2 linked regions of the Oryctolagus cuniculus genome follow. The main gene of each other region encodes a partner of the protein of the gene in region 2 in a complex. Links are inferred from orthologs where the notes say so. Each region holds a gene or a part of one and is shown on either strand. Other genes may lie near its edges. The genes, in order: BBIP1 and BBS4.

What was found.
Region 1: the proteins of BBS4 (region 2) and BBIP1 are in contact, whole or in part, in a cryo-EM structure (PDB 6VBV), measured with the Bos taurus proteins. The link is inferred for Oryctolagus cuniculus from reciprocal best matches to the Homo sapiens genes BBS4 and BBIP1. Residues at the interface, in NP_001069424.1 of Bos taurus: Leu210, Leu213, Tyr236, Leu240, Ala241, Ser244, Gln247, Thr248, Ser269, Pro271, Asn274, Asn275, Met278, Phe281, Gly282, Lys284, Tyr298, Leu299, Pro301, Leu302, Asp303, Trp304, Lys305, Ile306, Tyr308, Asn309, Leu312, Leu315, Thr316, Gln318; in XP_003587939.1 of Bos taurus: Met7, Phe8, Arg9, Glu10, Val11, Leu12, Pro13, Lys14, Gln15, Gly16, Gln17, Leu18, Tyr19, Val20, Glu21, Asp22, Leu28, Lys30, Pro31.

Annotation. Positions count from the first base shown.
Region 1 is NC_091446.1:19,349,727-19,352,660, reverse strand, and holds the end of BBIP1 (BBSome-interacting protein 1), read right to left. Parts: intron 1,865-2,934; 5' UTR 1,838-1,864; coding exon 1,792-1,837; intron 1,015-1,791; coding exon 851-1,014; 3' UTR 675-850; downstream 1-674.
Region 2 is NC_091443.1:110,558,436-110,562,256, forward strand, and holds part of BBS4 (BBSome complex member BBS4), read right to left. Parts: intron 1,749-3,821; coding exon 1,694-1,748; intron 802-1,693; coding exon 733-801; intron 1-732.

The sequences.
Region 1 (2,934 bases), on a different chromosome or scaffold from region 2:
CTAAAGGTATGTGCTAATTTTAACTGCCTATCAACTCCAAGAAATCAACCAAGAATTACATTAATAGTTTACAGAGGTATTCTTAGGAATATACCTATTCCTATTCTAGTTCAGTCTTACTAGAATTAAAATTCCAAATTTAATGTTCATGTTTCTATCATGGGCTCTTTCAAAACCACGTTATTTTAGGCTTATATAGATAATCACGATAACCATTTCCAGATTTTTAATTGTGTTTGATACCTGAGTCATAAAAGTAGTCATGTAATTCTTAAGTCCTTAAAATTAGTACAATTAAGAGCTTAAGTTGATTACAGAATAGGTAAGGGCTTCTTAAAAGTCAAATTTGTTTAAGAAATAGTTTTCTCATCATTAGACCATTACTGTCCATTACTGGTCAGCAAAATGGTATAAACATGATAGAGACACACAAAATTGGTTAAAAAACCTCAAATTACTCTCAAGTAAATTTTACTGTAATGTGGGTAATGTAAAAGCCTGATATGATCCTCTGTATAAAGAAGGTTGCATTTAATCACTTGTGCTAAGAATGCTGCCTTATAAAACTGATGGCCAACAGGAATGGTGAATTATGATATGCAATTTTAAAAACATGGTTTAAGTAAAAAAATAACTTTATTGCTTCAGCATTAACTGTTCAATACAAACCAGTGTTTAAATTCACCAATATAGGTCTTTATTTAGAAATACCAATACCAATACAGGTATTTCTATGAATATCAGTTTTATTAACAAATACTTTTCAGTTTACAGATCCAGATTATTTTCTAGTTACTACTGAATAGTAGGTAAGCTAGGGTGATTCCTAGTTCCCTAAAGTGGTAGGTTATTAGTGTGTTATTTGCCGTTGTTTCTCTGCCATTTCTTGTTGGCGAACTGTATCCTGTGCTGCTTGCTGCATTTTCTCCAGTTTTTCCAGAGTCAGAGATTTTAAGGGCAAAAGTTTTGGTTTACACAGCACCATTGTGGTTACATCTTCCACAGACAACTGCCCTAAGTTTGACAAGAAATAAGAATTAGTTTGTGAAGGATAACCCAGTTGTTTGGTGATATGGACTTGCACTAGAATTAAAGTCCAAAGGCAAACCATTTTCAGTGAAAATCTTTTAGACTGAGTTCTGCTGTGGGAGCAGAAAGATCAAAGTCACCCCATAGGCAACATTTCTTAACACTACAGTGGTCTTGAGGAAGACAAGTTTTGAATTCCTACTGAAGACTAAACTACCATAAGATATACAACATTTTGTGTCAGCTGTTTAATTTAAAATAACATTTAGGAAAATATATACATAGTACATAAAAATACAGCAAAGTACATTAATTTAACATAACTATTCCAGTTATGAAACCCTTAATGTAAACTAGCTTTTTGTAATGCTTAATTTTGGTTTCTTTTTCCTCAGTTTCAGATATTTCTGAATTGAATTACTTCATTAAAAATTTCATATAATCTGCAATCTTGGGTAACAGGATTTGCAGGTATAAGAACCACTGCCTCATTTACTTCCTCCTCTTATAGCCTACTTGTTAAAATTGTATGAGGATACTTCAAAAAGTCTGTGAAAAAGTGAATGACAAGGTTTATATTGCTGCAATAAAGAAAATCCATGCATTTTTTTCACAAAACATTTTTATGAACTTTTTGAAGACTTCATCTAGTAACAGTGGACAGTAAATGTGACATAAAAGAACAGAATAGCTGCAGAGGTTTTATTCTGCTGTTACTTTCTAGGTCCCTATGATAGTCCTAAGTATTTGTGATGTAGATACCTTGTTTTGGAAGAACTTCGCGGAACATTGACTTCACTTCTGCCATTTTTGAATTGTTGGATACAGTTTTTTCCTAAAATTAAAAAAGATTATTCAGGAATAATTCCCCAAAACATAACTGAGATCATTTCCATTATAGTTTAAAATGTAAAATCACAATTTGTACAGAAAATGGATTACTTTATCTCTGCATACTCTTCCCATTAATTTCCTGTGGTTCTTTTAATTGGAACAAGGTTGAGATAGTTTTTATACAAGCAGCCAAAGCTTGTCAACTTTGATCAATCAGTACTAGTGTTACCTGGAAGGCTGGGTGTTCTAAATTTTTCCCCTCCCAGTGAAAAACTGGTACTACAGGATTTTAGACAAAGGTGATAATAAGTACTAGCTGTGGAACAGGTGTTTACATGTAGCCACCGTGGTTCACTGATAGTATCTCCCCATGACCACCATTTGAGAGTGGGGTGAGGCAGTGAGGAAGAGGAGGTAGGCAAACATTTCTCAACATTCTGACTTCTCAATAGTTAACAGTTCTTTCAATCCCCTTTGCATAGTAAAAACATCTTAAGGAAGTTACTGACTACACAGCTGCAGTTTGTAAGCAAGGAACACAATAGGTTAAATTGGCTCTTGAAAAACCTAAATGATGACATGCTTTCAGCTTAGTAATTTTCTAATACAGAGATACTATTAAGCTAAAGGACTGACATACTGTTCATGAGTATTTTGTTAGGAATATCCTGGCATATATGCCACTTACCCAGTCATATCTGCTCGAAATGTTTCACCCCATATTACTAATTGCTTATGTTTAAGGTGTTCTGGACAAAGTTGTAGACTTGATGCTTCTCCAGAGAGTCCCACACACTTACATTTCACCATACTGATGCAGTCTTGCCATGCATCTTGACAACATCACCACAGAAGAAAGATTTACTGTTTATAAAGTGGAGAAGCTGGCTCAGTGCCTGCCTTTTCTGCCCACTGCAAGTTATAATGGAGTGAAGCTGCTTCTGTTCCTCTTGCTCCACTACTTCTCTGACATTCCTAATAAAAGCTCGCTACTGTCCACCTACCGAACCTTTTCCCTTCTCTTGTTCACATTCTTACTCTGGAATGTCTTCTAAGTTCCTGAGGAATCTT
Region 2 (3,821 bases):
ACTACACCACAGCGCTGGCCCTGGTCTTCTTACTCAGTCACACTTGGATTCATCAGGGATCTAACAGTGCTTTTGAGAGAACTGTCTTCGATGGTAGTTTTGAGGCTTGGCTAACTTCCTGAGAACACCAGCTCTGCCAGCCCCTAGTTCTGCCTTCTGCCATCTTACAGGCCCTGTTTTCACATCTTTGCAGGCCCCTGTAAGAGCTGGTGCTGTGGTGTAGCTGGTAAAGCTGCCACCTGCAGCACCAGCATCCCATACAGGCGCCAGTTTGCATCCCAGCTGTTCTACTCCCCACCAGCTCCCTGCTAATGTGCCTGGGCGAGCAGGGGACAATGGCCCAAGTGTTTGGGCCGCTGCACCCTTGTGGGAGACAAGGATGAATCTCCTGCCCCGTGTCTGGCCCAGCCCTGACCACTGCGGCCATTTGGGGGATGAACGAGCAGATGGAAGACCTCTCTCTGCCCCAGCCTCTCCCTCTAACTCTACCTTTCAAATACATCCATCACTCTGGGAGAAAAACCAAACGTGCTCTGTAGAAGGTGAGAAGCAGAGCAGCAACATTTTGTAATACTTCCTCATGAGAGCCACCTTTCCGTTCTCGTGTTCTTCAAGGAGAGCCTGCGTTCTCAGGGTGCAAGACGGGAAGCTGTGCCTTGCCCTCCAGCGTCCCAGCCCCGTGGGCAGGGCAGCATCGGGGTGAAGGCTCTGGGGCCTCACGGCCTGCGGTACCTTGTAGTTTGTAGGGTCGTAAGTCAGTGCATTTCCCAGGTATTCAAACGCCTTCTGGTAAATGCCAAGCTTAGAAAAAAGCAAACCAGAGAATTTATGTCAGCAGGGAGACGGAGTCAAGGAGTCTGGCCCACTCCACCCTCGACAGAAACATCCTGACTCTTCGGAGAGAAAAAGCTACAGGTATCACACACAGAAAACTGAAGAGCCCCCATGTTCTTCTTCTATTCTGTCAACACGTCCCCAGCTGGGTCAGTGTGCTTGTGGGGACCGCCTCTGCCTCCCGGCGTGGGCCACAGGGCCGCTGGGCGAGATGAGCTGCTGAGCCTCCTCTCCGTGGGCCCCGAGCCAAGTCGGTGAGACCTGGGGCACGCTCCCGATTCCCTTGTCAGCAGAAAAGCCACCCTGGGGCAGCATCAGCTGGGGAGGCTGATGAGGGTGGGTGGGTGGCTCCTCGGGGACCCCTGGGCCCTGAGGCTTACGCAGTGGAGGGACAGAGCTGGCAGAAGCCCACTCCCATGCAGGCATGTGGAAGGGACTCCTCACTCCAGGTGAGGGCACTTTGCCTTGTCTTTCCCAGAAGCCTCTAGCTGGGAAGGAGCAACAGCAGAGGGGTCTCCCAGCCCTGGACACTGCTGCCCGTCAACAGTGACGGAGCCCAAGCCCTGGACACTGCTGCCCCGTCAACAGTGACGGAGCCCAAGCCCACGCAGATGCCTCAGGCTCCTTCCTTGACTGGGTAGGAACTGTCATTGTAGAACCCTAACACAGAACTGCTCTTCTTTGGAGTGCATAAAATCAATTCTTGTATCAAAGAAAACCAAACACAGACAGCAAGGCTCATGTGTTTCAGGTGTTTATTAAAATGCGCTAATTATCGAAATAAAAGAAAACCACCAGGCACACACACCTACACCATTTCTAGTACCAACACAGGAAGGAGAGTGAAGCGCTTTCTCACCTGTAAGTAGAGTAACCCTAAAGTTGTAAGCAGCTCTGTGTTTTCTGGTGAGAACCTGCAACACAGAGACGGGAAGCAGAACATGCGTGAGACCCTGCCCTGGTGCCACACCTGAGCAACGCCACTGAGCCCCCACTCCCACTCCCACTCCCGTCTGCACATGCAGTTACCTTGGGTGGGCACTTGGCCACTTAGGGAACCCACATCCCATGCTGGAGTAGCTGGGTTCCAGTCCCAGCTGGCTCCTGCCTCCAGTTTCTTGCTGATGCAGACCCTGGGAGGTAGTGGTAACAGCTAAGTGACTGGGTCCCTGCTGCCCATCTGAGAGACCTGGACTAAGTTTCCAGTTCCTGGCACTAACCTCAGCCCAGCACGGGCCATTGCAAGCCTCTGAGGAGTGAATTGGCAGACGGGGAGCACACTGCCTCTCAAATAAATATGAAAAAAATTGGGGTCCAGCACTGCAGCATAATGAGCTAAGCCACTGCCTGCAATGCCAGCATCCCACATGGGCGCTTGTTCAAGTCTTGGCCATCCACTTCCGATCCAGCCCCCATGCTAATGTGCTGGAGAAAGCAATGGAGGATGGCCCAAGTTCTTGGACCCCTTCACCCACATGGGAGACCTGGAAGAAGCTTCTGGATCCTGTTTTCAGCCTGGCCCAGCCCCAGCTGTGGAGGCCAGTTAGGGCGTGAGCCAACAGATGGAAGATCTAACTCTGCCTTTCAAATAAATAAAAATGAATACTTTGAAAAGGAAAAAAGTTTTCAAGAAAGAATAGGTCGTTTCAGCCCAACCTACAGGGAAGACTGCTCAGCAAGAAAGGTACCAAGACTGAATGCAGACTCCATTCTCAGGGCCTTTTTGAAGGAGGACCAAAGTCCTAACAAAGAATGGTGTGTGACTGTCTTTGTTACACTAACAAAATAAGCAATGTTCAAGGCCACACACAACAACCTCCTCTTGTGTTCTGTTCCTGGTGTGTCACAGGACCAGGCAGTGTGAATTTAGGATTCCAGGAAGTGTCAGTTAGGATCCCAGGATCCCCAGTGCTGTGCTCTCAAATTAAGAAGTCGACCTAAACAAAAGCAAGACGGGGCTGGTGCTTTGGTGTAGCAGATAAAGCCTGCAGTGCCAGCATCAAATATGGGTGCCGCATCAAGTCCCGGCTGCTCCACTTCCAACCCAGCTCTCTGCTATGGCCTGGGAAAGCAGTACAAGATGGACCAAGACCTTGGGCCCCTGCACCTGCGTGGGAGACCCGGAAGAAGCTCCTGGATCCTGGCTTCAGATCAGCACAGCTCTGGCTGTTGCAGCCATTTGGGGAGTGAACCAGTGGACGGAAGACTTCTCTCTGCCTTTCAAATAAATAAATCTTTAAAAAGGCAAGAAGAGACACTGCAGCCCTCGGAAGGAATCAGCTGTTGGCCTTGGGAAGCAGTTCTCAGTCCTTACTGGCATTTGTCTTTGACACAAACCAAAGCAACAGGGGCAGGTGCTGTGGCACAGCAGGTTAATGCCCTGGCCTGAAGCACCGGCATCCCATATGGGCGCCGGTTTGAGAACCGGCTGTTCCTCTTCTGATCCAGCTCTCTGCTATGGCCTGGGAAAGCAGTAGAAGATGGCCCAAGTCCTTGCGCCGCTGCACCCACGTGGGAGACCCAGAGGAAGCTCCTGGCTCCTGGCTTCAGATTGGCACAGCTCCGGCCACTGCGGCCAACTGGCGAGTGAACCATCGGATGGAACACCTCTCTCTCTCTCTTTTTCTCTGCCTCTCCTCTCTTTGTGTAACTGACTTTCAAGTAAATACATCTTTTTAAAAAATGCTATTAAAACAAAAACAAAGCAACATAGAGCTGACAGCTGACAACACCAAAGGGCAAAAAATTATGTCACATGCTTCTAAGGACCAGGCAGGACACTGGCTACCTGCAGGGAGACCAGGAGCTGAGACCAAAGCCCCCCGCAGGGAAGGCTGAACACAGCTCTCCTAGTTCAGTGGGGAATCTGCCTTCCTCCTGCCATGATAGATACCCACTCCGACCAACCACCTCCCCCATGTAAGCACCTTCTGTGGTTCCCGCAGCTTCCATGGCCCCACCAAGGCAAGACTGCTCTCCCCAAAGCT